4 linked regions of the Arabidopsis thaliana genome follow. The protein of the gene in region 3 purifies or fractionates together with the protein of the main gene of each other region. This does not show direct contact. Each region holds a gene or a part of one and is shown on either strand. Other genes may lie near its edges. The genes, in order: HCF173, AT1G09200, AT1G12530 and SDG25.

Region 1 (6,446 bases), 1.5 Mb from region 3:
AACCAAAAAAAGAAAGAATTTCAAGTTTTCAACTGTCAAAATCTTGTAGTAGTAATGGAAAATCATCACCGAATATCCGCCACAAAATACAACGGCGAAGCAGTGTCGGACGATGTGGGCCAGGGGAAGCTATATTCTCCAAACCACGCGATCAAAATCTCTCCAGAATCCGACGAAAACGTGGGCCAAGGGAACCTCTACTCTCCTGACCACGCGATCAAAATCGCAACGAACCCTGATTCCGTGGATTCCTCATCAGAGGAAGAAGAAGGAGAGAAGCAGAGGAAGACGATCATGTTGGGGCTGAAGAATCTTGCGGCGGTTAAGGATAAAGTGTTAGAAAAACTATCGGCTGCTTCGGTTCCATCTGAGTCGCTTGAAAACGCTAAACAGTTTTTGGAAGGAGCCATTAAGGATTTCGCCGGAGCGGCGCAGGGTATGACGAAAGACGCGTTGCACCGGATTAAAACTCAGCTCGCTGTTATTGTTCCGTCTGTTTCTCCTGCCGTCACCGAAAAGGTTTAGTTTTAAAAACAATTGGTCCACCGGGTAAACTAATTTGGACTCTTTTTTGGCTGACTTGTGAATTTACTTTTGACGGAGCAGATAGTGGACGATGCTGAGAAAGAAGCCATTGACGGAGAGGAAGAAGATGAGAGCAAGTCAAAAGAAAGCTCCGGAAAGTTGCCGTTTGTTTCTCCGACATCTTCGTTTTTCAGCTCTCTCGCCAAACCTTTCTCCAAGCTTTGATGGGTTTGTGTCGTACGCCTTCATGACTATCTGAGATAAATAAGACAAAGTCTGAGATCTTCTGAAGTTTCAATGTTTACTTATAATGAATGAAGATACTTTTTATGTTTATCATTCAAAATATTATGAGTTTTGTGTAATAGAAAACTGGGTTTCACACCCTTTTTATTATGTTGGTGGCCTTGGATTGTTTGTATTAGCACACAAATTTTAAGTTGAATATAAGAAATAAATGGTAATGGACATAAAGAGACCAAAGAGATTCTTGTATGTACAAGTTATACATGTACGTATGTATATATGCATGTAATGCGTATCAGAGCTTGAGATGTGTACAATATACAAAATGGAATCAATGATTCTTCTTCTCATGTGTTCTTCTCAAGTACAGATAAAGCCGGAGTCAGATAGTTGTTCGCCTTGTCTGGCAAATGAGCCACCTGAAAGAGACAAACACTATCAGATGATGTAATGATGTAGATGTGACTCTTATTGCAAGTGATTGTTTACTCTTTTACCAGCTCATAGAGTTCTATTCCTTGCTCAGCAACGTATTCATGGCAAACCTGTAAAAACCAAATGGAAGAAATTTGAGAGATCCATGATGTGATTTCTTCTTTATAGATCAAAGATTGAATCTTTCTTAGTTTTGGTTCTTGAAAAGGGTCAAAGATTGATTCTTTCTCAGTTGTTTCTCTATAAACTGCAACTCACATCAAAGCTTTTGTTTCTGGCGGTTGAATCGTGCAGTGCCTTGACACATATATCAGCCACATCCGCGCAACTAATGCCCTGAAATTGAAAGAAAATAGCGCATTGGGAAGTTATAAGTGGCTCCATCAGAGAACTTTTGCTAGGTGGCTTGAGTTTGTTTTTCGTGATTGAAATAACCTGAGAAATTCTGTTTCCTTGATCAAATATCAGAGCTCGTTGCCCGCCTGGTTCCTCCTATATCAGAAAATATGTATTCAGAGCCATATATATACAATATGGCTGGAGCTCAAAGAACATTACCTTCAAGGGACCAGGACGAATGATTGTGTATCCAAGGCCTGATCTCCTTAAAGAATCTTCACCAGCCTAACAAATTTAGCGGACATCAAGAGAGAAGGAGATAGAGATGTGAAAAGATGGAACCTACTGGCACAAAAGCCCTGACAATCCATAGCCTCGAAAGATTCAAGAGTTATTATGATGTGTAAGACAAAATGGACTTACCCTCTTAGCTTTCAACACTTGCTCCCTTCTGTTGGCTTCTACTCCCGAACCAGTACACGATACCAGAATAAAGTCTGTTTCTTGACCCGCCTGCAGACAAAAATGCAGGAAGCTGATGATGTATCTGTTTTTTTTTTCCGTTCTTTCAGGTGATAATCTTCAGTAAGTAGACATTAAGTTGGGAGTACTTACAGGCAAAGCTTTTATGTACTCAAATACAAGGCTAAAACTTCTCAAATCTTGTTGCGCACCAGCAAGTCCATCAACAGGCCTCTGAAAGAGGAAAAACCCCAAGAGATTGCTAACTCAGACACCAACGAATGAAAGTTTTCGGTTAATGATCACACAGATCAATCCGCAAAACCAACTGCTGAAGCTTTGAAAAGAGTAAGCAAACCTGTCTTTTAGGCTCAAAGCGTATTGTCAATGTGTGAACAAGAAATGGATCTAGCGGTGGATCTTCTGGGTTGACCGGTCGAAAAGCTGAAAATGGCACCCTTACCTGCCCAAGGAACCAAAGTTTTAGCCAAAAAAATAACGGAAAAGGGGTCAGACTAATGAGTAAGACCGATGATGCTTTATATACCCGACAAAACCCTGCTTTGGTACTGATCCTAGCGAAATACTGTTTGCTCTGAGACATATCTGATGATGGACCAGCTTCAAGGATTACAACATAGGATCTTCCATTCCCACCAACAGAAAGAACTAAGCCTTCGTACCTATTGATATAAAAGCATAAGCATATAAAAGAAGCTATAAGGCTAAATGAGTTTCAGGAGGTGTTAGAAATTTCATTTAATACTCCTTTCTCTAAGTTTCTATCATTGAATCATTTCACAGAACAAGCTGAGAGTAAGTTGATACGAAATCGCGCAATACCTGTCAAGAGTGGTACCCAATGGAAGTGAAAGTTTCTTCGACAACTCAACATATCCTCCTCGGGTGAAAACATAACCTGCATTTGAAAACTGATTAAACCACTATACCTCAAAATATACATCAAAGGAAAAAACTTTGGCAATTGCCATATTCTCCGGAAAGATAATGTGTACCTGAAAACTCAGCTCTCTCAGTTTCAGTGAACTCAAACTTAGCATCCATCCCACCATCATATTTGGAAGCGGTTGTGTCCTGAAAGTAAGTTCCTTGACGAATTTCCCAACCATCAAGTGACTCAGCTGACTTGAACTTAGCTAATAGAAGCTTGCTTTTGCTGCTTTTACCCGCCCTTAATTGCGCTAGTCTGTTATTGTAATCCTGCAAATACTCAAAACGACACACATGAATAAACTACTCTCTGCTCAACAAAACAAGAAACCAAATTAACCACGGTTGAGTCATGGACAAATCTTACTATACCTGAAAAGCCTTGGTGAGGTTATAAACACCCAAGTGATCAACCCGCGTAAGGTCTGCAGTAATCGTAGACCGAGCAGTCGCACAGTAGATGATCTTGCTGCAGCTTTCAACAGCGGATTTGAGCGTTGACGGTTCACCCACATCTCCAACAACAATATCCACTGACCTTGGCAACATACTCATCACTTCCTCATCTTGTTTCCTCACCAGTGCCTAAACGGTAACCTCAAATCTCTTAAAACTCTAAAGCATTTGCATAAACACACCAATACTACTTTATATTATAAAAATCAGCATTTTTTGAACCTTGACGGTGTAGCCACGGAGCATGAGTTTACGGACAACGATACGACCGATTCTACTAGTAGCTCCGACGACTAAAACGGTAACGTTTTGAGCGCCGGGAACAGCAAACTCACACATAGGTCCTTCTCTAATGAGTAGACTATCAAGAGTCTCTTGCTCATCGGGTCGGGTTGTCCTCGACATCTGACCTAATCCAGAGAATTTCCGCCACACCTCGTCGAAGATCTGCCGCGATCGTCGTCCTAATCCCACAGGATTCACATCGTCCAACTTCAGTGTAGGCGGAGACGGTGGTGATTGAGGCGAAGGCGGAGCAACGTCGAGCTTCTTCGCAACCGTCTCTTCGCTCTCCTTAGTGGTTATGGTTCCGGGTCGGGTTTTGGTCTTCTTCTTGTCGGAGGGTGGAGATGGAGACGGAGAAGAAGAAGATTGAGCCCTAGGGATTACGATTTGGGAGCGATCATGGAATCTGTGAATTCTGGTGTTGATGCTGAAACTGTTGCCAAAATTCGAGCTTAGAAACCTCGCATCAGTCGCAGCCATGTTACTGCCAACAATACTACCCACCATTTTTGAACTCTGCTACACAAACAGAGCTCAAAGACACAATTTTGAAAATAAATTTTTTGGATAAAATTATACTAAATGCATACAATTGTTTGTTAAATGAATCTTATTTGCATGCTAGACTGTCATTGAGAACACTCTTGGTCGAAATTGGGAATGGATAACGAAAGTGAGATTTTTCAAGTTTTTTTTTGTCGTTAAGAGAAAATAGAGAAGAATAAGAAATGGTTGGATCGGAGGATTTTGACATTTCGGAAAGAAGGAGAGAAGAAGAAGACCACAGAATCTGGTTTATGTGTTTTCGGACAGTGATATGACTTATGAGCCAATTAACTAGCCACGTACACTCTCTCTTTTCCTCTTCTTTTTTTTAAAAAAAAAAATATACTTCTTCACCTTTTTTTTTTTTGGAGAAACAAACAAGAAAATTTCATTCCAAGTTCCAACTATATAATAATTCCATAAAATTTCATATCTGTATATTTCAAGCGTTAAGGAAGCTGCGTTGGCTTCTCCTTCCTGCACGATTCTATTGGTGATGGGAATTGGAAGCAACTGTGACCCTTATTGCAGCAATGGTCACAAAGGCCAATGCAATAACAAGGATTCCAAAGCAAATATTAGATTATGAATTATGACTTGGAGCTAACAGCCTAACAATAGCATTTGCATTACAAAACTACACAAATTTAGAAAAGGTAGCAGTGTCGTGATAACGTTTACCTTATTAATCCAAAACCTAATTCAATGAAACGATACTAAAATGTTAATACAAGTTCGCCCAAAAATGTAAGAGAAGGAAACATCCTTAAAGAGACACACTTCATCTTTCTTACTTATCTAGCAAGTTATCTATTTATATGTATATATATTACATTCCTGCCACATCCCCCAAAGGGATATAAGCTATTTTACAAATTGTACCAGACTACAAAAAAAAGACGGAGAGGTAGAAGACAGTAATCAGTCACAGAGTAATATATGTATAGTCAAAGAATCACCAGCCAGATCAAGCCACTGAACTAATCGAAGAGTCTGGAATCTCATTTCTTCCTTTTCGCGACCTTACACACAGCATAAGTTAGCATCTACGACGATTCTTCTGCTTCAATTGGCACTTAAGCTGAGAAACTCTTCAAGTCACTCAAGTTATTCATCATCATCACTCCACGACTTGCGACTGTTAAATAGGAATCCATCTAAATTAAATCGTTATATGGCTGTTTCATGTCTTCACTAGCTGCTGTTATTCACTTTTTCTTCACCTTCTTCAAGTGGAGATCATAAACACCAGTTTCTTTTATCTTCTTAACCTTCGGAAGAAGATTACATTTCCACTTCTGCTTAGATCCTAAATGAAATTAGTATTTACAAAAATTAATCAACCCGAGGTTCCAGCGACTTCTGCAGCTCTCTGTCTCATCATCTCCATGACGGCAGCTCTCCGCCTAGAATCTGATTGCTGTTGTAACCTTCTCAGATGTTCCTTTAGGTCCCTGAATTGAGAAGATTTACAATGATCAATACAAATCATGCGGACCATTTTTTTCAAAAAAGCTTTGCCATATGTTATGCCCCGGTTCTAATATATCCAAAAATGTCGTTTTTACTTTCAATTTTACGTTTTTACTTGTTGAAAGAAAAGGCAAATACTGAATGATCCCGTTAAGAGATCGATTGCAAAATGTTAGACAGGGACAGAAGTTAAAGAGATTACCCGCATCGAGGTACATCACACTCGGATTCCTTGCAGGCCCGAGCGTGGAGTTGCAACAGATACCACATTTTCTTGCATAGAACACAACCTCCTGAAGCACGTACTTTGCAGCGGAGACCATGTCGGAATAGCCCCTTCACTTTGCGGCAGTTGGGATATAGACAAACTGGAGAACGGCATTGCGACGCATGCACCAGAAGATCGAGCATTTTCCTGAGCTGCATATTTTAGATAAATGAAAACTTTAGCACTTCAGATACATTGTGGGAGCTATATGACCTAACAAAGCCCAATTGTTTTCTCAAATCAGAAGAAGCCTAAAGCAAGAGAAGAAGAGGCAGTTTTTTCAAGAGGATCTACCATGCACAACAACAACAACAAAAAACTGAATATTACAGTACCTGCAAGACTCGCAATTGCCTAGCTTCTTTATTCTGAGCGTTTTGATCAGCTAGAGATGGATGAGTTGTTAACTTATGAGGATGATTAATACAACCCTCTTTCTTGTAACAAGCATTGCACACAT
Region 2 (4,158 bases), 1.3 Mb from region 3:
ATCAATCGCATGACGAATATAGTCTCTCATTTCCTTCAATCCAATACCATTTTTCATAAACATCTGCGTCAAATTCACGTGACCTAGCTTTAAAGAAACAGCAAGCTTGACATCACCACACTTACCAACCACAAATTCAGTAGAACCACCTCCAATATCAACACACAACACTGATTTCTCAAACACAGGTAAAAACTGAAGCACGCCTAAATAAACTAACCTGGCTTCCTCTTCACCAGAAAGCACATCGACCTTAAGCCCAACATCCTCAAAAACCGCATCCACGAACTCTTCCTGATTCTCGGCTCGCCGTAAGGCTTCCGTTGCAACGCATCGGATCCTATCACCAGAGACGTGGTGCGAGAGAATTAAACTTTTGAATTTCCGTAGAGATTGAAGCGCGCGAGCCTGAGATTGAGACGAAATTGAGGTTGGAGATTCACGAGACAACACCACTGGCTCTTTGAGTCTCTCGATTGGAACGAAAGATCTACCGGAAGGCTCAGCTTGGACTATTAGAAGCTTGAAAGAATTTGTTCCCAAATCAATGGAGGTGAAGACCTCCGATGATATAGGATTCGATAGCAGATTGGAGTTCATCTTCGATCGAATCACAACTAATTAACAATGATCTTCACAACAATTTCAGCGTCAAAGCTGATTAATTTGTGAGACTATAATGAGTTGTGAACTAGCACAAATTAACCAAACAATTAGTGATTAATAAAGTCAACTAAAAAGTCAATACTTTGATAGAACAAAAGATAATTGCTTGGAATTAATATTATAACCCTTGGATTTAACTTGAAATTTTACAATCTTATGGTTCTAATCAAAACACAAGAGTAACCAGAATACTTAGATCTAAGCTCGTTCTCCTCTGATTCTTCTCGCGAGCTGGATGTCCTTGGGCATGATCGTGACCCTCTTGGCGTGAATGGCGCAGAGATTGGTGTCTTCGAAGAGTCCGACGAGGTAAGCTTCAGCAGCTTCCTGAAGAGCGGCGACGGCACTGCTCTGGAAACGAAGATCGGTTTTGAAGTCCTGAGCGATCTCTCTGACAAGCCTCTGGAAAGGGAGTTTACGGATAAGAAGCTCAGTGCTCTTCTGGTACTTCCTGATTTCTCTTAAAGCAACAGTTCCGGGTCTGAATCTGTGTGGCTTCTTCACTCCTCCGGTGGCCGGAGCAGATTTCCTCGCCGCTTTTGTCGCCAGCTGCTTCCTTGGAGCCTTTCCTCCGGTTGATTTCCTAGCCGTCTGCTTGGTACGAGCCATGAAGTAAAATGTTATTAAGAAACTGTTTGATTTTAATTTGAAGATGAGAGAAAGTTGAGATCTGGATAGTTTGTTTCGATTGAGGAAGGGGATATTTATCGTCTGGAAATTACAAGAAGTGGGAGGGAAAATATTTCGCTTTTCTTTTTCAGCGGGATTAGATCTGGATCGTTCATTGGTTTTTAATCAACGGATATAAGAGGTTTCTATCACGATCCGCGTGAAATCACAGCAACCGTAGATTAATACAATTCTACGGACAGATTTCATTCTTTTCTAACACTGATCCGCGTGAAGGTACGAAGACCAATAGAAATAAAAGAAATAATCTAAATATATTATCTTTACCAAAAAACCAAGCCCATTACTTAATAGGGCCTGCGTAATTGTTTTTCTTTTTTTGGTTCTCAATCAGCTTTTTCTGGGCTTAAATACCATCTCAATATGCTAGGACGCTGTTTTGTATAAAGATTGTGACTTCATCTTTTGAGAATGACATCATGAATTAAAATATTGCTGTCTAAGGTTAAGGTAAAACAAAGATTGCACTGCATTCGTTCTCTAGCGTTCTAAGCATCTGTGGTTGGGGTACAATTATCTCTATATAATTTTTGTTATCTCAACATCTGTCTTCACAATGGAAGTGAACCCAGTATAAGTGTATAGACAATGTGGAAATTGTTTGGAAAGTGAAAGACATTCTACATTACTACTACTCTAGTATCAATCAACTTGCAGGGACGTTGGACTGTTGGATTATGGACTTGGTGGTCTGTATTGACTGACAAGAGACTAACAACAAATTCTCAAAGGGTGGGGAGCAGTGAACGAATACACCAGAATCCGATTTTGGCGGACATTGGCTTAGCAGAGAAACAAGAGTAGAGAAAGAGAAGCAACTGCAAAACTTCTTCATGGTTTTTTAAAGTCTAAAATGAGCATCTGACAGACATTGTATCCCCCTTTTAGTTTTGCTAAAACTTGTTTCTATCTCCGACAAACTAGATGCTAAAATACTTCAAAAGAAAACGATAAAACAATAAAGAGACTGAAAACTTTGGTCTTCAAATCTTCAACCTTTCACCTATAGCTCATCCTGCAAAACCAAATCACGCAGTTTTAACCACAACTCAAGGAAAACAACAAAATTATGGATGAGTGAAATTTCTCCAAGTGATATTGTGGTAGCATACATGAGCGGTGGCGTCTTTCTCAGAGGTTTCCTCGCTATCTACTGATTTGGTCTCCTCGGCCTTAGATTCAGAATCGGAATCATCTCCTCCTTCATCATCCTCTGGTTCGTCTTCAGCCTGGAATTTATATCACATATAATATTAGGACCTTGACAGAAACAAACAAGACTCTAAAAAATTTGATCCTTCACAAGTGCTTACATCAGATTCCGCAGGTGCGTCCTTGGATTCCTGTATCAACACAGAAAAAGGAGAATGCCGTCTTAGATTATCTATTCCCAACTTGGTTACAACAATTACATAATTGGCAGTAGAAACTCCACAAAAGTCCAAACTACTTGTTTTAGAGAGATTCAAATGAATTAAGCTAAATAATTAGGAGAGATATTTACCTCTTCCTCATTCTTCTTCTCAGCCTCATCGAAAGCTGCTTTCTCCGCCTGCAATGTGATATTAGATTGGATATTCTGATCAGTAACCAGAAACAAAAAAAAAAAAACTGTGTTATGAAATTGGGTATTTTAAACACCTACATCCTTGAGCTTTCCCCATGTTTCATCTGCCAACTTCTTGGCATAGTCTGGGTCATCGCAGATCAAGACATTGTCGAACAATGATCCTGATTTCACCTGGAAGAGTAACATGTATTAGATGAGAGTCATGGGAATAAAGCATATCTTCGAAGGTCATTCAAAGTGACAAAGATTTATTTACCTGCCACAATTCGAGTCCAACATATTTCAGCTTGGGGAAGACGTAGAGCTCTGGGTCATCCTTGAAGTCTGCGGTAATCAGTTTATTTTAGGCACACTAATTGTTTATTATTATGTCTAAGAGAGCTAAATTTTCATGTAAGTTAATGCAAGCATAAAAAACAAAAAGTTGCGAGTTCTACAGTTACATCCAAATGAACATGATATAAAAGTGTAAATAAAGGTGAACAAAAGATATAGATTACTAAATGTGTCAAACTGGTGTGACCATGGATTTAATGATAGAGAAGATAAAAGAAAAACCAGGTTAGTTACAAACATGTTTCTATTTAATAGGTTAAACCACTAAACATAGAGACGCCAATAAACCTTTTGGAAGTAAAGGATTACTTCAGCATTTGAGTTTAAATGAACCCTTAGGCCTTAGACTTAGATAGTCCTTCTACTTAGTCAAGAGAAATCTAACTGGAGAAGATTTAGGCATACCAGAAACGACCATCAAACAACAAAGAACAGAAGTTGAACCACAAATTACATGCAACATGGATAATATGGCCACAGAGAGTAGTAATGTACCAGGGTTGTCAATCAATGGAGCCTCCCACTTGCCCTTGTAGTTGGGGTTCTTGATTTGCTACAAAAATATTTGACAGCCTTGAGAGGAAGAAAAACGTTGACCAGGATATAGATACTTTTTGGAATAGAAATTGACAAACCTTAGGCTTCCATTCACCCATGTACTCAGGGTTGGGGATTGTTGGGGCAGTCCACTCACCATCTTCTTCATCATCCCAGTCCTCAGGCTAAGAGAAAGGACAACGAAAAATCAGCAAATACGGAACACAGCAAGAGATTTTAGATTTTACATCAATTATAGACAAGTATGAACCTTCTTTGAGTCGGTGTCTGGGATCTCCTTAGGGATATCATCGTAACCGTCAGGTTTCTTGTCTTCAGGGTCAGAAATGTATTCTTGT
Region 3 (4,923 bases):
CTGCACTATGAATGACTGGATTACATGGTTTAGGTTCTTGGAATGATACACGCGTTGAAGGAGTGATCAAACTAGAGAAATCTAAATCATTTTCATAAGCAAAATTTGGTGTGAACAATGAAGAATCTGGAAAATTCATGCCCTTTTTATTTTCTTGTTGGTGGTTATGGGAGTGTTTTGGTAATAAGAGAATTTTTGGGTACTATATGAATTCTCTTGTTTTTTGATGCAGAATTTCGACAGCAATGCTGTTAGTCATTTTATACCATCCAAGATTTTGTTTCTTATGACCATTTTTTTCAACTTATTCTTTGAAAAGACAAGCTTTTTAGTGACCTCAAAGAAAACAACGTTAAACTATTCGAAAGATACGATTGAGTGAGTGATACTAATACTAAACGATTAGATTTATTTCGAAGGTGTGCATTTTAAACGATTTAACTTGAGCTGTACATTTAGTGGCTATTTATTAGGGAATATATATTGTTACGCAAAACATGCAACTTACATTTAAAATGTGCTTTATTCATATATTTTGTTTCATCCGACACTAGGTTCTTGAAATGATTTTAACTTTCAGTTTATTGAGCCAAAATAGTTTCAGTTAGTTTCTTAACTCCTATGTTATGTAAATACTGATTTTTTAAAAAATTCACACATATCAAAAAACAATGACTAGTTCTTAACAATACATACATCATTTAATTTTCATATACAAAACACTTTCTACTATTAGTAACTGTATAGAAAATCTAAAACAAATGAAAATCATCCAATATATAAAAAAGTACTTCTTGTCGATTAATCGATTTAGTTCATAGTAATTTTCAGGTTACCAATTTGTATTATAAAGAGAAAGTGTTGTCATTTATATAGTTTACCATAGATGCCGAAATACATTATTTAATTCTTCAGGCCGCCTAGCCTAGGATAAAAACATATAATGATAGACCTATATTTTATATTATTTTGGTCGACGAAAAAGTTGGTATATTAAGATTTATGTCAATTTCAAGCAAAAGTTAAATAATTATTTATATTAAAATAGCACTAAGAAAATGATTTTTTTTTCTCTAGACATGATTGCATGGCATCTAAGTAAACGATTCGTAACATTACATATCGAATTATCGATTATACTTTTTCGGGACAAAGACCCAGTATACTAAATACTTATGAGCACGTAGCAAAACTGATCGTTGTTGGTTAATTATAAATCACAGAAACTTTATACGGTCATACCAGAACATTTAATTTACTTTATTTTGTGGTACTCTTGTTTTAAGAGATTGGATTTGGTCATAATCGGTTAAAAATTAAGCGTATAGTCATATAGATATGTGTAGTCACGAATAAAAAACAATCACTTCTTCTCATTTAAATGTCCTTGGAAGTGAACTCTCAGTTATTTTCTCTCTTTAGAACCATGTTTTTCGATCTTCCTATACAAACTCATCTCAAATTTCGAACTATGTTTTTCTATTTTGCTTTTGTTGTGTCTTACAAGTTCAACGTTATCTAATTTATATAAATGTCTGAAGTCTTGAACAATAAGACCTACCAAAAAGATAATGGTCGATTACGTTAATTACATGAAGATCATGAAATGTTGGAGTACATGAGAGTCCTAAAAAATACAATCGGTTACTTTTGTATCTTAAAGGATTTATTTATTTATATATCCTCGATTAAGAACGATTTCAATATTCCAAATTCTTCATATAGGGGGCAAATTAGAGTCTAATTAATTTCGAAGGATGATGTGGACACTTGAAAGATACCAAATTTTGCAATAATTGGTGGATTTTAATGAATTAAAGGGAATAGATATTGGGGTCAGGATTAGGTCTGACTTTCATCTTATGGTCCATTTGAACTTGTTCCATATAACAACATAATCGTGTCGTGTGTCATGATTATGATTATGAAGTGCTTTGTGCATGAACATGGTGGTGACCATGTTGGCAATTATGTTAAATGAACATATATACATCAACATTCAGCAAAGGTCACTCGTAAAATATAAACGTGAATGAAGACGAACAAACTATAATTTTACAAGTGGATCGGTTCAAACACAAGAGTTTAAAAGTTAAATTTACTAATTACAAAAGAAAAATAGATAAGGAATATTGTTAAAACTATAAAATAGCTAATTAACTATTCAATTATGGTTTAATTTGTGATTTGTAGATCCATGATGCATCATGAAGCCCTGACAATTTAAATAGATGCAAACAAAATTATTGATTTTATTAAATACGACTTTTTGAAAAAAATAAAAGGAAAGAAATAGAAAATCCAGAGGAAGGAAGGAAGAGTGAGAGATGATGGGTATGGCGAGGAAGATAAGCAAAGAGGAAGTTGTAGAGAAGCTTAAGGACGACGGAGATTTTGATCGTCTCCGTCTCAAAATCATTCGCCGCCTCAAAGAAAACGTAAGCCCTCTTTCTCTTTCTCCGTCGTCTTCGCATTGCACATCGTGTGTTTTTCTTTCCTTGCTCCTCTAATTAGGGTTCATATTCTCTCGATTCCCAGTACATTCGTGGCTTTGTTAGGACCAGTGATAATGATTAGTCGATTTTGATTGTTTCAAAAGATCATCAAATTGGAATCTTTTGTTAGTTTGACTTGAGTAATAGAGATTTCGATTGAGAATTTGTATAAAGTTTGCTCTTTTGGTTCATATAGACTGAGCCCAATAGTCCTCCATAAATGGTTTTAGGTACTTTCATCAGTAGCTTCTCGGAACTCACTCCAAAAAATTTGATCTTTTCGTTTCGTGTGTACTGTTGTAGTGTTGAAACAAGTGATATGGTTAGTTGTGTGCAAAGATAAGTTTGAGCTTGGTCTCAGGGAAGGTTTGTGTTAATATGGGATTCCTAACAATACCAGTTGTTTAAGATAGGGAAAGTTTGGTCATTTGATTTTGATTTTGGGATAAGTGTATCTGAAGTTGCTTTAGAGGCGTGGAAGTAAGTAAACCATTGATGATTCGGAGAGTTTATCAAGATGCCTTTAGTTTTTCTTAGATGAATCAGATCCTAGGGGAGAGAGTTCTCTTAATGGTGTTAAGCTGTTAGATCACAGCTATAGGCCTACTATAGCTGATTCAGAATTTCAGTATCACTTACTGTGAATTGGTTTGACATCTTACTTATAGCTGGTATAGTGTTCATTGTCTTTGAGGAGTCTTTATACTTATCCATCGAATGGGCATTGTCATTAGCGCAACTTGGTAGAATATTTAGATAAGAGTGAAGGTTACTACTTTCTTAGCCGGAGAAGTTTATGTAAGGCAACAAGGAATTTTCTTTTAACAGTGTTTGATAAACATCTTGAGCTTTGTTCTTCTGGACTGCCTGTGTTTGCATTGTGATCTGACTATTAAAGCGGTTACTGGATTGCAGGAGGATTTACGGAATAATATGATATCAGTTGTCAAGGAGTCAACATCTTTGAAACGACATGGTGCTCAAAATATGAAAACCAGGCAACTCTCTGATGCGATATTCGAAGAAGTCGGGTAAATTAAGAGGGATTTTCTTCTATTCAGCTAACTCCTGTTGTTGTAAATGATTATGACACAAGCGTACTAAATTTTTTGGATTGTTTCCTGTAGGAGCAAGATGCTAAGCCAGCTCTCAGATGGTTTATGGGGGATAATAAGATCAGAAGACGGGATGAAGAATGAAATCAGAGAAACCGTTCAATCCGTCTACGCCACATTATCTAACCCGAGAGGCGAGAAACGCGGAACATCCGCTAGAGAAATGGAACATAAGATTCCAACACCAAAAAAAGAAGCAAGAACTGATTTCAACACCAGTCCAGCGAGTAAACAGAAGCAAGAGCTGATTAAAGGAGCTGTAGAAGATAACAAAGGAGAGGCATGTAGTGATGATGTACAAGATAACAAAGGAGAAGCATATAATGATGATGAAGAAGATCCTGAACTCCCTCCTGGCTTTGGCTAAAACTGTTTTTTGTATCATCAATAAACTCCCTCTGAAATATTATTGCGTTTAAGGTAATAACACCAACTGTTTGTAATAACAACAGAATTACTGCACATTAATTTACCAAAGTAATAGTGATCCCCAGATTAACCGATTTATTTTTTAATTAAAAATGATAAAATTTAAAGGTTGTTGAAAGGTCAGAAATAAAAAGCCGCAAAAACTGAAGAAGCAAGATAATGGCATCAATTCTCAGGTCAGTGGCAACGACTTCAGCCGTCGTAGCCGCCGCCTCTGCGATTCCCATCGCGATCGCCTTCTCTTCTTCTTCTTCTTCTTCCTCTACCAACCCCAAATCTCAATCTCTCAATTTCTCCTTCCTCTCCCGATCGTCTCCACGTCTCTTGGGACTTTCACGAAGCTTCGTTAGCTCTCCGATGGCGACTGCTCTCACTTCTGATCGTAATCTCCATCAGGTTTTGGTTTAAAGCTTTGAACTTTTGAAATACCCTATTTCCAATTTGAGCTTTTTCGCTTTCCTGATTCGATGATTAAGTATTTAAGTAGCTGAATTTGATTTGCAGGAGGATCGAGCCATGCCTCAGCTTCTTGTAAGTCTTTCTCGTAATCCTGTATCTTTATACAACAATTTTTGGATTTGAGCTAGTGAGAACTTGTGTTGTGTGTTCCAGACTGAGTTTATGGTGGATATGACATGTGAGGGTTGTGTTAATGCTGTGAAGAACAAATTAGAAACCATTGAAGGTAGTAGGAGAAACAACTTTATTAATCGTCGTCTGTTTGGTTATGATTTACTTTGTTGGTGCTTATTATGTGTAATGGAAATTTTTAATCTTGTAAGGTATTGAGAAAGTGGAGGTGGATTTGTCCAATCAAGTTGTGAGGATACTTGGATCTTCCCCTGTTAAGGCTATGACTCAAGCTTTGGAGCAAACTGGTCGAA
Region 4 (5,927 bases), on a different chromosome or scaffold from region 3:
TCCCTATTTTTCAATTCTCTTTCAAATTTTAAACTCGATTTTTTACATTTACCGAAAACCTAATATTTCTTTGTTAAAAAGATAAATATTGGTCAGTTTTTTTTAAAAAATTGTTTTTTGAAATCTAAAAACCCAACGATATAATGCTGAAATTATCATTTGGATAGATTTGGGACTCTAAACATTTGTAAATATTTTTGATAGCATTAATATAAAATCTGTATCAAAATTTAAGAGTTAAAAAAAAAAAAGACACGAAGTTGGATTCAAAGTCGAAGATTCGTCCCCATTTCTTAACGAAAAATAATGGGAGCTTAAGTGTTTGAAGATGTTTGATAGTGATACGGAAATCAACGTGGAATTGCGTCCTACGAGGACAATTCTTTTGTGAAGCTGAAGAATATTTTAATTACTAGGAAAATAATTGGGATGTTTCGGTGATGTTTTCCTCACCAGATTTGATGTTTGTCGGCGGTGAAAGTTGATATCGGTATATTTTGATGACTCTTCATCTTGTGTTGCAGTTGTAATATCATGTAGACAGTTGTATTGGATAAAGTCAAAATGTCAAAACATCTCTATGCCTAACTTTTATTTCTCCACAAATCGGTGTAGATTTTAAAGTCTTGTTTCTCTTTTAGTGGGTTAGCCAAGCAAAATTTTTTTTTATTTTTGGTGGGTTACTTCATAATACACTTATCAACTCTAGCTAGGTCGATGAGGCTTTCTGTGTGGTAGCTCGGCATCGGCGATCAGATAATTAGAGTTGATAGAGACATTATCGGAGGCTGTGGCACAAGAGCAAACAAGGGCAACTGGCTGCAATACCATTTAAAGAGAGTGACGGGATCCAGGATGGAGAAGGCTAGATGGATCAGGGTTAACCCTTTCGCTGCCATCTTCGTCACCGGTTCGAGCCATGCTGAAATCTGGTGAGGTTGTTGGTCGACTAGGATCACGAAACAACTAGATTCATAGATCTGGACGCATGTGTGAGATTAAGCTCAAGTTCACGCATTTTTACAAATTTGACTTTGAGGAATCTTGGCATGGTGGATCAAGTTTCATCGAAAACAACTATCAGTCTAGAGGACCCGCGCGAATATAAGATTCTGGAAAGTTTGATAAAAGGATATCCAACCACTATAAACCAAAGCAAAGGAAGAACGTCGTGGTGGTCGGGAAGGTGACAAAAAAGAACAAAAAGTTTGCGAAAAGTGGAATAGAGACAAGAGACTAAAAGATGGATAGATACATCTTTACGCCGGCGAGCAAAGACTCCACCAGTATTGAAAAACTGGTTCATGCGGCTGTCCTCGATTATTGAACCTGCGTGAGAGAGTTTTTTTTAGCTCAATACAAAAGTAGATGGTTAATATTTTATTCGACCACTAAATTATTAAGCTGAAAAATAACTCGAGTGAAAAATATGACACATATCAATTACTTTTATAATGTATTGATAAGAAAGATTAAAATATGAAAATCAAATATACTCAATTGCTATAAATCTTTTACCAACTAACAAAGGTTGAAGAATGAAAACTAAAATCTAATTTGACATAGTTAAAAGATATAAAAACGATAATATGAATATTAGATTATTTAAATACCTTATAAAAATAAAATTTTATAAATGATTGGATCGAGTCTCCCCGTAGTGATTACTATCCAAAAGTATCTATAAACTTTATAAACTTTTCATATTCAATTAGGGACATTTTTGAAAATAGACAACTCAATGGAGCATTTTTGAATAATGGGACATCAAAAGAGGCATTTCAATAATTTCAAAAAATATTACTTCTAATTTAAAATATTAAAAATGATCTCACATGTTCCTTGTTAAAAAGAAATTCAAATACACAATATTAAATTTATTTTAGTTTTCATATATTTTATTAGAAAAATAAAATTAAAATGAATAATAGGAAATTTTAGATTAAATCATGACACATGCATGTTGCAATGTAAAATTAGAAACACTATGATATATGAATCTTATATAGAATCTAAAAAAATATGAAAATAAAAATAAAAATTATTAGAATTAATTAAAATAAAATAGAAAATTATAAACACGATTATATATGAATCTACGATAATGCAAAAATAAAAAATGGAAAAATGAAAAAAGTAAGAAATTTAAAATATACAATAATATATTAAGTTAAATATTTACAAAAGGAAGAAGTATATATTGATGCCATATAATTCTAATTGTAAAAAAATCAAATAAACAACATGCAAACTTAATTGAAATCTTCACATATTCTTAACTGACCAAAAATTATAGAAGTATATCATATAAAATTTTAAATTCAATCATGATATATGACAAAATTAAATCATGATACGTACCACTATACTATTAATTAGTAACTTTTTGAATAATAAAAAAATAAGTAAGTAATTGCTAAAAACATTGTAGATCATCCCACAGCTTTTTTCAACGAACCCTAATTGTTATTCTTTTCTTATTTCCTTTTTCAATTTGTTGATAAGAGAAACTTCTTCGTCTTCTATGTCTTCTTCTTCTATGTCTTCTTATCAATTTCAGTTCAATTTGATCACAGTGTCATCGCTTCCTTGAGCTTGCTTCACTTCCCTGAAAATTTTGGTAGGTGTGTTCTTTTTTCCTACCGTACTGTTTCTCCCGAGGTCTGATGTTTTTCCTTTGTGTGTGTTCACGTATCTGGTTCTCTGTTCGATTCAATGTTACAGCTTCTGGGTATCATGCATATTGTCTTCTTTAAGAAATTAGGTTTAAGAAAGACTCGATTTTTTTGCTCTGTAGACAAACTTGGCGATCGTCTTTGCTCCCAGATTTCATAAATGTGTAGTCTTTCTTAGTGTTTCTCTCTGTAATGATTTGGGTACTGTCTCAAATTTAATGACATTGCTTTAAACCCAGTCTAAAAATTGAATATTTGAGAAAGCTTGTATTTTTATTGAAGTTTAATGATCATGTTTTTTCGTGTAGAGAAGATATCTCGAGTTTATCTGTGTCATGGTTGCGGTTGATTCCACTTTTCCTAGCCATGGTAGCTCTTATTCTAGTAGAAGGAAGAAAGTTTCTGCTTTGGAACCGAATTATTTCGGTTCAATGTGTATGGGAGTTTACAGTGATGATGTTTCAATCTCTGCAAGAGAAGTAGCTCAAGATTACTCTTGTGACAGGTGCAACTTGTAGTTAAGTTTTTCGTAGTTGTGAATTAACTAGTTGGATTGTCAATCTAAAAGAAAAACTGTATTTTTGCTTTTCAGCTGTGGTGATTTGGCTACTGTATCTTCCGCTTGTTGCAATTTTGATGAACTGTGTGGTTTGGATTCAGCCTTGGAGATGGGATGTCGTTCAAATGAAGACTGTCGTGCGGGTCAAGAGGCTTCTGGTAGTGGCATAGCTTCAGGTCTAGACAAGAGTGTTCCAGGGTATACCATGTATGCAAGTGGTTGGATGTATGGTAATCAGCAAGGTCAGATGTGTGGCCCTTACACGCAACAGCAGCTATATGATGGGCTATCAACTAACTTCTTACCGGAGGATCTTCTTGTATATCCAATTATCAATGGTTATACTGCAAATTCTGTACCACTTAAGTACTTCAAGCAGTTTCCAGATCATGTCGCTACTGGCTTTGCATATCTACAAAATGGAATAATAAGTGTAGCCCCATCTGTTACTTCATTTCCCCCTTCTAGTAGTAATGCTACAGTCCATCAAGATGAGATTCAAACAGAGCATGCAACTTCTGCTACTCATTTGATCTCCCATCAGACGATGCCTCCACAGACAAGTTCTAATGGTTCTGTTTTAGATCAGCTAACACTAAACCACGAGGAATCAAATATGTTAGCTTCATTCCTCTCATTGGTAACTTCCTTTCAACGGTGAAAACTCAGTTCACAAGTTCATCAGACATGATGGCTCGAGTTCACATAAGAATTTTCTTTAATGTTTGGGTTTTCTGTTAGGGAAACGAACATGCTTGCTGGTTTCTCGTTGATGGTGAAGGTAGAAATCATGGTCCACATTCTATATTGGAGCTTTTTAGTTGGCAGCAGCATGGATATGTTTCAGATGCAGCCCTGGTAAGCTTTTATGAATATAGACTTTTTAAAGATTTTCTGAAAGATTGTGATTAGTTAAATTTCATGCAATTTATAATGATTTTGATCCTGTTGCCTCTTTGTAGCCTTGTGCCTAGCTTTGTTTCTTCATGCATCTTCTTTTCAGTTTTGAGGTTTTTAGTTACTATTTTAGAATACTTGGTTAGAATATATGTTTTCTCCCCTTCTTCTAATGTTTGTGATAGATCAGGCCATCTGGTGTTTATCATTTTGCTTAAGAGTTTTTGTTTTGTAGATACGTGATGGTGAAAATAAGCTTAGACCAATCACATTAGCATCGTTAATTGGTGTATGGAGGGTGAAATGTGGTGATGCTAATTGTGACGAGCCAGTGACTGGCGTGAACTTCATATCCGAAGTTTCGGAAGAACTCTCTGTTCATCTTCAGAGTGGAATAATGAAAATAGCTAGAAGAGCTCTACTCGATGAAATCATCAGCAGTGTGATTTCAGACTTTCTGAAGGCCAAGAAAAGTGATGAGCATCTCAAGTCTTATCCACCCACTTCTGCTGTTGAATCCATATCGGTAGCTCTTTTTATTATACATTGAACTATCAAACTTCAGGGGCTATCATTGAATCATACACTAATATGGTAACTTTTGGTTTGCGCAGTCTCGGGTTATTAATGCGGAGAAAAGTGTTGTCTCAAACACTGAATCTGCAGGCTGTAAGAATACAATGAATGAGGGGGGTCATAGTAGTATAGCTGCAGAGTCGTCCAAATATACTAAATCTGTTGGAAGCATTGAGAACTTTCAGACATCTTGCTCAGCTGTGTGTAGAACGCTTCACCACCATTGCATGCAAATCATGTGGAATGCAGTCTTTTATGATACTGTGGCAACTCATTCATCATGTTGGAGAAAGAACAAAATTTGGTTTCGGTCTTCTGATATCTCGACTGTTAATTACTGCAAAGGTTCCCATACAAAGTATTCAGACAAACCTGAATCATTTGAGAGTGTGAGCTTATAAAAAGTTTCTATGACTTTAATAGATTAAGTGTCATTTTTTTCTAATTAGCTTTGCTCATCAATGAAATGAATTGTCATTTTTAATGTTTTGCAGTTTACTTGTAGGGTGGATTCCTCTTCCTCTAAAACTGCTTACTCTGATGAATTCGACTTAGCTACCAATGGAGCCAGAGTTCGTGGATTGTCATCAGATACTTATGGAACGGAAAGTGTCATAGCAAGCATCTCAGAACATGTTGAAAATGAACTCTTTCTGTCTCTTAAAACTCACCTAACTGATTATACTAGTATTCTCATTAAAGATGGAGCGAATAATACTACTAGTAGTGCACGAGATGGCAAAATGCATGAGGTAAGGAGACAAAATCTCCTTGTTTGGCAATTTTTAGAAGTTTTCTAAGGGAAAAGCTATCCTTTCTCGTTCTGCCATCTTTGCCATATGCTAGCAAGTGGGGGCTGAATTCAAATTGTTTCAAATTGCTGCAGGAAAACCCGCCATCTCTTCAGGGTTCCTTCCGTGAGCAGTATAATTTGGAAGGGTCTAGTAAAAAGAAGAATGGCTTAAATGTGGTTCCTGCTAAGTTGCGGTTTTCCAATGATTTCAGTGATTCTCAGAGACTGTTGCAAGAGGGAGAATCCTCCGAGCAAATCACATCTGAAGATATTATTGCTAATATTTTTAGTACAGCATTGGAGACATCAGATATTCCTGTTAATGATGAACTTGATGCTCTGGCCATTCATGAGCCACCACCACCTGGATGTGAAAGCAATATTAATATGCCATGTCTGCGCTATAAGTATCAGCCTGTTAGGTCCA

The links.
Region 1: the proteins of AT1G12530 (region 3) and HCF173 purify together in Arabidopsis thaliana (affinity purification with mass spectrometry, with the first as the bait; one study listed by BioGRID). This does not show direct contact.
Region 2: the proteins of AT1G12530 (region 3) and AT1G09200 fractionate together in Arabidopsis thaliana (co-fractionation; one study listed by BioGRID). This does not show direct contact.
Region 4: the proteins of AT1G12530 (region 3) and SDG25 purify together in Arabidopsis thaliana (affinity purification with mass spectrometry, with the first as the bait; one study listed by BioGRID). This does not show direct contact.

Annotation. Positions count from the first base shown.
Region 1 is NC_003070.9:5,720,921-5,727,366, reverse strand, and holds HCF173 (high chlorophyll fluorescence phenotype 173), read right to left. Parts: upstream 4,477-6,446; 5' UTR 4,207-4,476; coding exon 3,637-4,206; intron 3,544-3,636; coding exon 3,331-3,543; intron 3,229-3,330; coding exon 3,024-3,228; intron 2,927-3,023; coding exon 2,851-2,926; intron 2,691-2,850; coding exon 2,555-2,690; intron 2,471-2,554; coding exon 2,366-2,470; intron 2,242-2,365; coding exon 2,161-2,241; intron 2,059-2,160; coding exon 1,969-2,058; intron 1,831-1,968; coding exon 1,765-1,830; intron 1,699-1,764; coding exon 1,465-1,698; coding exon of another isoform or gene 1,447-1,464; exon of another isoform or gene 1,420-1,446; intron 1,317-1,419; coding exon 1,269-1,316; intron 1,191-1,268; coding exon 1,119-1,190; downstream 1-1,118. Other genes in the region: UP6 (uncharacterized protein), read left to right, coding at 55-519, 607-750; HAC12 (histone acetyltransferase of the CBP family 12), read right to left, coding at 5,585-5,699, 5,921-6,138, 6,322-6,446. UniProt on the Arabidopsis thaliana protein: Auxiliary factor required, together with HCF244, for the biogenesis of photosystem II (PSII), especially for the synthesis of the reaction center proteins (e.g.
Region 2 is NC_003070.9:2,970,858-2,975,015, forward strand, and holds AT1G09200 (Histone superfamily protein), read right to left. Parts: upstream 1,478-4,158; 5' UTR 1,276-1,477; coding exon 865-1,275; 3' UTR 714-864; downstream 1-713. Other genes in the region: AT1G09195 (Ppx-GppA phosphatase), read right to left, coding at 1-600; CRT1b (calreticulin 1b), read right to left, coding at 2,360-2,371, 2,469-2,585, 2,670-2,699, 2,861-2,908, 3,002-3,097, 3,183-3,250, 3,758-3,815, 3,898-3,984 and 1 more. UniProt on the Arabidopsis thaliana protein: Core component of nucleosome. Nucleosomes wrap and compact DNA into chromatin, limiting DNA accessibility to the cellular machineries which require DNA as a template.
Region 3 is NC_003070.9:4,268,176-4,273,098, reverse strand, and holds AT1G12530 (uncharacterized protein), read left to right. Parts: upstream 1-2,191; 5' UTR 2,192-2,327; coding exon 2,328-2,438; intron 2,439-3,410; coding exon 3,411-3,526; intron 3,527-3,622; coding exon 3,623-3,977; 3' UTR 3,978-4,113; downstream 4,114-4,923. Other genes in the region: AT1G12540 (basic helix-loop-helix (bHLH) DNA-binding superfamily protein), read right to left, coding at 1-139; CCS (copper chaperone for SOD1), read left to right, coding at 4,199-4,435, 4,544-4,570, 4,652-4,724, 4,822-4,923.
Region 4 is NC_003076.8:16,957,755-16,963,681, reverse strand, and holds the start of SDG25 (SET domain protein 25), read left to right. Parts: upstream 1-2,436; 5' UTR 2,437-2,620; exon of another isoform or gene 2,621-2,624; intron 2,625-2,979; exon of another isoform or gene 2,980-2,983; 5' UTR 2,984-3,010; coding exon 3,011-3,180; intron 3,181-3,267; coding exon 3,268-3,874; intron 3,875-3,975; coding exon 3,976-4,092; intron 4,093-4,366; coding exon 4,367-4,657; intron 4,658-4,745; coding exon 4,746-5,096; intron 5,097-5,201; coding exon 5,202-5,459; intron 5,460-5,593; coding exon 5,594-5,927. UniProt on the Arabidopsis thaliana protein: Histone methyltransferase involved in regulation of flowering time. Required for the expression of the flowering repressors FLC and MADS-box genes of the MAF family. Required for histone H3 dimethylation on 'Lys-36' H3K36me2 at the FLC locus.